Oryctolagus cuniculus: one gene and its partner. The protein of the gene in region 2 interacts with the protein of the main gene of each other region in a biochemical or structural test. Links are inferred from orthologs where the notes say so. Each region holds a gene or a part of one and is shown on either strand. Other genes may lie near its edges. The genes, in order: NR4A1 and BCL2.

The links.
Region 1: the proteins of BCL2 (region 2) and NR4A1 form a complex in vitro, tested with the Homo sapiens proteins (2 studies listed by BioGRID). The link is inferred for Oryctolagus cuniculus from reciprocal best matches to the Homo sapiens genes BCL2 and NR4A1.

Annotation. Positions count from the first base shown.
Region 1 is NC_091442.1:55,366,863-55,370,661, reverse strand, and holds part of NR4A1 (nuclear receptor subfamily 4immunitygroup A member 1), read right to left. Parts: intron 3,776-3,799; exon of another isoform or gene 3,522-3,775; intron 914-3,521; coding exon 36-913; intron 1-35. UniProt on the Homo sapiens protein: Orphan nuclear receptor. Binds the NGFI-B response element (NBRE) 5'-AAAGGTCA-3'. Binds 9-cis-retinoic acid outside of its ligand-binding (NR LBD) domain.
Region 2 is NC_091441.1:15,291,074-15,295,497, reverse strand, and holds the start of BCL2 (apoptosis regulator Bcl-2), read right to left. Parts: upstream 2,860-4,424; 5' UTR 2,723-2,859; coding exon 2,177-2,722; intron 1-2,176. UniProt on the Homo sapiens protein: Suppresses apoptosis in a variety of cell systems including factor-dependent lymphohematopoietic and neural cells. Regulates cell death by controlling the mitochondrial membrane permeability. Appears to function in a feedback loop system with caspases.

The DNA of each region.
Region 1 (3,799 bases), on a different chromosome or scaffold from region 2:
TTCCAGTCCCCACCCCCGCCCCGGCAGCCAAGTACCTTGAAGAAGCCCTTGCAACCCTCGCAGGTGCGAACGCCATAATGCTGGCACGAAGCATTGTCCCCACACACGGCGCAGCGGCCCTCGCTGCCACCTGGAGCCCCACTCCGGGCCTTGGCTGAGGTCGCTGGCGCGTCCAGCATCCCCGAGCCGTCGAGGTGTGGGGAGGTGGGTACCAGGCCCGGGAAAGCCGCCGCTGGCACAGAGTAGCCCTCTCCCTCCCCGAGCTGGGGGGTGGCCTGCGATGGCGACGGGAACAACTTCAGGGAACTCTGGCCCAGGCCGGGGCTGGGACCCGTCGGGGGGCTGAAGGAAAAGAAGGTTGGTGGGGGCCCGGCAGCCTTGGGCAGCTGCTCTGTCCATGCCCGCAGGCCGTCGTAAGTCTGGCTGGGGGAGAAGTGGCCAAAGGAGCTGTCCCAGGGAGAGAGCTGGGGTGCCTGGAAGCTGGGCGTGTTTGGCGACGGGGCTGAGCAGGGGCTGCCGTAGTGGTCGGAGCCGCTGGACAGGGCATCATCGAGGGGGCCACTCAGGGGGCCAGGGTAGCAGCCGTACACTTGGAAGTCCTCGAACTTGAAGGAGGCAGAGGCGGGGGAGGTGGCCGAGGACGAGGACGTGGAGGAGGCCGAGGAGGAGGCCGAGGAGCACGGCTGAGCTGTTCCCGGCAGCTGGTAGAGGAAGGTGTCAAACTCCCCTGTGTAGCTGTCCATGAAGGTGCTGAAGCTGGGCAGGGCAGTGGGGGCTGCAGGGGCCGCCTCTGGGCTGGCCAGGTCCATGGTGGGCTTGCTGAGCTCGGGGCTCAGGGGGTCGCTTGCCAGGTGGTCACGCGGTCCTGGGCTGGGCACCGGAGTCCCATACTGGGCTTGGATACAGGGCATCTCTGGACAAAGAGGAGAGGGGAAGGACTTCCGTGAGCCAAGCCAGGCCCGGAAGGCTGAGCCCAGAGCAGCCAGGCAGCTGGCCTGGCCAGCGTCGCAGCCCAAGGAAGGGACACTGAGGCAGGAGGCCACAGTGCCCAGGATCCTGGACCCCCTGGCTGGGGCCCCACGTCCAACTCTAGCCACAAAGACCCCGGGCAGTGGCCCAGCGAAGAGTGGGATCTGTGGGAAGGCCAGCCACACCCAGCCGGCCTGGGAACCCCGGGCGAGGCACACAGCCAGCGTTTTTCTGCTGCAACAGGGGGAGCTGTGTTCCCAGCCCCCTGCCCCTCCCCAAGCAGGGAAGAGCGTGGGTGCGGGCTGGGAGAAGGGTGGGTGGGAGGGGCAGCCTGGCAAAGCCCCAGCCCAGCACCCCCAGAGCAGATCTGTTGCTGCTCTTCACCAACCAGGCACTTCCTGGGGAACATTCGCAGGCACACCCCAGCCTCTGCAGAAGCCCCTGCCTCCCGGGGCTGGGGGACAAGGACACTCTGGCAATGGCAGAGGAGCCAGATGGAAGGCAGGGCTGCCTAAGGAGGGAGCCCGGGTATAGATGCCGCTCTGGAGCCATCCGCACCCCGTCCCACGTACGGAGCACAGGCAGCCGAGCCCACAGGCACCCCAGTCCTGCCTGCCGTCTGGGGCTGGGCATGCGCTCTGGACTGCCTGGGATGCTCCCAGAGGCAGTGAGGAAGGGCGCCCAGGCCTCCTCGCCATGTCCCGAGGGGATCACGTAACCTGGCTCCCAGCCCTTTAAGGCCATATGTTCAAGGGAGGGGGAGCCGGCAGGAGCAGGCACAGCCCTCTGCAGGTCCAGAAGCAAGGGCAGTCCCTATGAGGAATTTCTCTGCTCTCCCTGGCTATTTGACTAAGAATTGCTAAGAGTCCAGTGGGAGACTTAAGGTGGGGGAGCCTGTGGGCGGATGGGTAAAGGGAAAATGCCTTCTGCCTGGGTTCGCCCCATTAAAGTCTGTGCCCTTAGCAGGCAGGCAAAGGGGGTCACGCACCCCCCAATCCTGAACAGCCTGACCCACAGAGCAGTCACAAAGCAATCCCAATAGGCTCCAGGACCCTCTCCGTCTCCACCACCGTGCCTGGGATGTGCCCACCTCTGTGCTCACCAGGCAGAGAGGCAAAACTGGGTAGGAAATCAAGCCAGAACACAGAGTACCATAATCAACGGGACAGCGATGAGGGCAGAGGCTGTCCCCACCCCCTGGCCACCAGCCCAGGAAGGCTGCTGGTCCTAGCCTTTCTTCTACCTCCCAGGACCTGACCAAGTCAGCTCCACCCCAGCCTGACACTCAGACAACCAACCCAGGCAGCAGAGCCCCTCGAAGCTCAAGTTCTATCCACCCAGTGGCACCCATCCACAAAAATACAGCACCTGCCCGATAAGTGTGGCCACGTTTGCCTTCCCGGGACAGCCTGGGCAGGGATGGGTTGGGGGTGGAGGAGGAAAGGCAGCAGCCACGCAGAACTGGGCGTTTGTTCCAGCCTTATTCAAATCCTGTTTCTCCACTGGGACGTCCCACATCCGGATCAACCCCCACCAACCCCCCCCCCCCGATACACACACATACACACCTTCATGCAGGTACTGAACACAAGATACGACTCACATCTAGCCTCCCGATTGGGGGGGGGGGGCAGGGGCAGGGGAGGGCAGTCCCACGGCAAGGAGGAAGAGGTGGGGTTGAAGGCGGGAGGGAGCGGGGAGAATCCGGCTTCAGGCAGGTTTTGGCAACAATATGGTTTGCACCTGTTAGACGAAGCAAGCCTCAGGCTGCACCCTGCCTGTAAGATCCAACCGGGACTACTGGGAGAGGGGGTGCAGAGGCGATCAGGAAGTAGACCTGGGAGGAGGGGAGGGTCCCCCAGGTAGCACCACACCAAAACTCCAAGGCTACTAACTTCCATGCAGGATCCCCCAGAACAAGCATGTCCACTCTGTCTCTCACAAATACACACACACATTCTCACTCCAAGCCACAGTTAAAACAATCTTGCAGACACCCTGCCCCCCTGTCCCTAAGCAAACTCACTTATTCCAACACGCAGCAGGCACAAGCACCCTCCACTGCCCAGCCACCAAGCTAGTAGTCTCCCTGGTTAAGAGACCTCCTAACGCAGCCCCCTGCAACTGAGCCCGCAGGAGCACAGGGCTGACAGGCTGGAGTCCGCCGACCCCCTGCAGGGCCCATCACCCGTAGCACCGAAGCTCTGGATACCTTAACCGCCTATAGCTAGATGCCCATCAGCGCCCAAGCCGAAAGCACCGTATGCCCACTTGGGTCTCCTCGGAGACAGAACTCAGGCCCGTCGCCTGCTGGACAAGTCCCCGCTCTAAGAGGCACTCCGACGCCTGTGGCTTCCACCTTGCATGTTCTACAGCCCCTCTCCTCCCGCCCCGTAGATTCCAGCCGGAGCTGCTGAGTCCTCACCCCGCTCCAACAGCTAGCCCTGGGCGCCCCTGCGCGCCTTTCTGCCCGCGCGTACCCCCGTCTCATCCCCCAACCCCGTGCACCAGCCCAGAAAACAGATGCACTTTACCCGCGGGGGGGCACCTACCCGGCCGGCTCCAGCTCGCCCTGCCCGGGACCCTCGGCCCGAGTCGCAGACTCGGTCCCGCGTGTGCTCTCGCGGTCCCTTCTGCACGCTCCCCTAACTTTCGCAGCCTCTGCCACTCGGGCTCCCCGGGAGCGCCAGACCCTCCTCTTAAGCGCTCCGTGACGCACGGGGAGGGGCGGGGGCGCCACTGACGCACGCGGCCCGGCGAGGTTTGGCCATACAAGGGCGCGGGGGGCGGCGCGGTTCCGGCGGGAGGCGGCCAGGGGGAGGCGCGGGCC
Region 2 (4,424 bases):
CATCAGCCATTTGTGCTTCTATATGATTTATTTTTACTGTAAGAGGTTTTGTCAAAAAATTTTTATCATGTGCTACAGAATGTCATTGTGGTTTGGCATCATAAAATGTAGCTTGTGCATTTATCGACCTCAGATACCTGTTGACCACAAAGATAGGCTCTACAACGAAAACTCTATTGTGAAAGGAAGAAAAAGTGAGCCCTCATTTAAAAGGAAACCTCAGTTGTATGAGACATTAACATACTGCAGCTCAACAACAAACATCAAGGTTCTATCTTAATCTCCATCATAAACATGTGTCTGTTTCCTACCACTTTATTAACTTGCTTGATACATGGCGGTTTCCACCATGGATTTCTTTCAACTAGACAGAACTTTTTTTTTAATATGGATTTCTTTTTTTTTTTTATGAAAAATAGGAACCAGGAGACCTATTAAATCAGTTTTACTTTGGTTTTAGAATGATCCTTGCGGAGTCTACAAGTCCCTTCCTCTTTGGTTATGGTGATTAAAAATCAAACCAGCTGCTTAACTAAACACTTAACAAAAATATTCTTTTCATCCTTTAGCAAATTACTCCAGAATCACTAAAGACCTGATAATGTGGGATTTCAACAAACAATCCATAAAGAGTCATTAAATTTTAGAGATTTAAATTGGGATATTTTAGTTAATTTTACATTCAAACATTGAACAGTGGCATCAATATTTTGTCAACTTTGGTCAAATAATATCAGATGTCCACATCAATCACCTACATTTCTTGGCCCCGTCTCTTTTTGGCCCCTTAATATTAGCATACTTTGAAAAATGGAGCAAAAATGAAGAAATGTGCTTCTTGCAGTCACGTCTAGGCTTTTGGATCCCATTAGGTTCTATAATGTGAGTCATTCTCCTAAGAGACTATAGAAGAGCTCACAGAAATGCATCCTTCTTCCAAGATAACTCTTCAGACTAAAAACAAAGTTTAACAAAACTCCAGACAAGAATGATTACTTTCTCATAAATTAATCCTTTTAGGTAAGAGATGGAAATCTTAATTAAGCACCGTTGAGTCTTGGGATCCGCACCCCAGTCCCAGAGCATCATGGAAAAATACAACTGCGTGGTGAACAGGATCGAAGCTCTATCTAGCAACCGCCCCGGAGCGGGAGAAAAAGCGTCTTACCAAGGTTCTTAAAAGTCACAGCTGCTCATCACTTCAACCCTGGTCAGCGCATGAAAGAATCCACAGCTAAAGATCAATTCTTCTACGCTTTACATAGTTTCCCTAGGTGCAAGTTTCTCTGTGAGTGTGTGTGGTGTATGTAAGCAGAGACCACAAAATCATGTGGCGTCTAGGTGGTAAAATGTAAGAGATGGTAAAACTCCAGGAAACTTCTAAATGCGACACAAGGGACAGCACACAAAGTCTGCAGCCAATCCAAACCCCATCACTGACAAGAGGACGCAGCGCATCCACAGACTGCTGCCCTTCAATGCACACCATCGTGTCCACTGGGTCACGGCCCGACCAGCAGGTGAACACTCCCCCGGCTCTCCCTACGTCCACTTACCTCTTCACAAACACAGCTAAGACCTTCAGGGAAAGGGGTTACACTGGGCTTCCTCTGGGGCAGTTTTTACCCAGTGAGGCAAACATGTTCTTGGTCCTCTGGGGGAGTCTGTTCTTCGATGGGGTGGCTTACAACTTTTAGGACAAAGACAAATCCACCAGGGGAGCCTGTTTAGGATGCAGACTGCCAGGGCCTCGCCCTGGGGTGGTGGTGGTCGTGGGATGCGCGGTGTGTCTGGTCCACACCAAGTCCCTGAAACCTGCGATTTCAACTACCCAGGCCACGTAACTGTGGTGCTGGGGACTCCGCAGCCCCAGTTTGAGAAGCACGGGAAGGCAGGACCATGCATCACAAAATCCTACTGGGCCGCAAAGGCAGCATCTGGGAGCCTCCAGGGCTGGCACACCACTTTTGGCGGGAAGCAGTTGCCCTAGCTGGGAGGGCAGGGTGCGCTTCCTGCAGGGCGCGCTGGAGGGAAAGCAGGGAAAGTGACACACCTGCTGTTAGCTCACGGGCTCTGCAGTCTGCCCCGGCCCCCGGGGTCCACCCACACCCTCGCCACGGCATCTCGGACCTGCGACCGCAAGCCCAGACTCACGTGCAACCAGACAGGCACCTACCCAGCCTCCATTATCCTGGATCCAGGTGTGCAGGTGCCGGTTCAGGTACTCAGTCATCCACAGGGCGATGTTGTCCACCAGGGGCGACATCTCCCGGTTGACGCTCTCCACACACATGACCCCACCGAACTCAAAGAAGGCCACAATCCTCCCCCAGTTCACCCCATCCCTGAAGAGCTCCTCCACCACCGTGGCAAAGCGCCCCCTCGCGGTGAAGGGCGTCAGGTGCAGCTGGCTGGACATCTCCGCGAAGTCGCGGCGGTAGCGCCGGGAGAAGTCGTCGCCCGCCTGGCGGAGGGTCAGGTGGACCACAGGTGGCACCGGGCTGAGCGCGGGCCCCGCGGCGGCCGGCGGCGGCGGCGGCGAGGTCCTGGCGGCCGGGTCCCGGGGCGCAGCGGGCGCGGGCTGGGAGGAGAAGACGCCCGGCGCGGAGGCGGCGCCCGCGTCCCCAGCGTCCCACTCGTAGCCCCTCTGGGACAGCTTATAGTGGATGTACTTCATCACGATCTCCCGGTTGTCGTACCCTGTTCGCCCGGCGTGCGCCATGCTGCCCTTGGGCGCCCGCGGTGCCTCCGGCCGCGTCCCGCCGCACGGGCCCGCTCAGAAGCCGGCGGGGTTCCCGGGCGCGCGCCGCATCCTCGGGCGCGGGGGTGTCTTCAGTCACGCGGAGCCCTCGCTTCTGGTGTTTCCCCGTTGGCAGCAGGCGCAGGAGATTTTTACTCAAATCCCTTTCGGATCTCTGTTTCACGAGGCACGTTATCATTCATAAGCGTGGTGAACGCCAGTCTTTTCCCTACGTGATGCTAGAAGGTTGGAAAAAAAAAAAAGGCAAACAAACAAAAACAAAACCTGGTTAAGCCAAACTCAGGTGCGTTCTCCGGCACACACGGAGAGAAAGCGGGGGCATGCACGCTGCGGGCCACACGGCTAAAAACAACGCATTCAACTGCCTGAAAATTCACATTTACTCGAAGGCACTCCGAGTTAGCATCTCGAGTGCCGCCACCGAAAGTTACGCGAGCCCGATCTGCTGCGCAAAGAACTTACTTGTGTTTTTAAAGGACAGCATGACCCTCTGTCCAGTTTCCTTCTCTGCAAAACCAAAACAAACGCATAAGGCAAGGATCCCATCAATCTTCGGAGCTCCCGGGTGAGAGCCGCTTGGAAACTTCCGAATGAATCGGGAGGCGGCGGGCGCGGGTGTAGGCACCCCGGGGCGGGGGGGTCTCCAGGCTGGCCCCCGGGTTTCTGCTCCTCAGAAACGTCAATCCGCAGGAATCCGGCCCCGAGCTCCGGAGCGCGCTCCGTCCGGGCTCCCCTCGGCCACTGACAGGCGCGCGCGCCGCGCGGGCACGGCGCGGACTCTGCCCCGGACGCCGACGGGGCCCGGCCGGCGCGGGGTCCTCTTCTGATTCAACTCCGAGAGCAGCCGACGCGTTTTCCGAAAAGCTGCGGATCAATGAAGGCAGGACGCGCCGGCCTCGCGAGGAGCCCGCGCCGTGTGTGGTGCGGCCAGGGTGGGGAGCGGGGGAGGGTTTTATTTTTTTTTTCCCTCTTTTTCCTAAAAAGGATGACTGCTACGAAGTTCGCCCCCCTGGACCCCTCTTCCGCTGCACCCGCCGGCGCACCCGCCTCCGGGCTGCGCACCCTTTCTGCTCCGCCCGCTCCCGCGCCGGGGCGCTGGCGGCGGCGGCCGCCGCCTCCTCCGGTCGCGCCGTGCGGCAGCTCCGCGCTCTGACGGCCGCTGGCGGGGGGCCCGGCGCCCGGGCACCTTCGCGGGCGGCGGCGGCGGCGCGGCGGGGACCCCGGGAGCGGCGGGCGGGCGGGCCGGCGGGCGGGCGCGCGGCGCGCGGAGGAGGGGCGGGGGCGGGGAGGAAGGGGGCGGGCGGGGGCCTGGCCGCTGACTTCATTCTCCTCACAAACCGACTGGTTTCCTGTACGTACGTCACTGTTCATTCAAAAAAAGAAGAAAGAAAGAGCCCTCCTCTGAGCCGCCCGACGGCCCCCCCCTCCGCCCCGCTCCCCTTCCCCGGTTAAAGGCGCCGCGGCCGGCCGGGGCCCGCCGGGCACACATGGCGCGCGGGGCCGCGGCTGGGGAGGGCGCGCCCGGGCCGGCCGCCCGCGGGGCCCGGCCGGTGGGTGGCGCGGCCGCGGCGCGGTAGGTGTGCCAGGGGCCTCCCCGGGCCTGCGGCGGGCTCGGCCTGCGCTCGGGGGTCGCCGGGGCCCGCCGGTGGGCCACGGGCGCCGG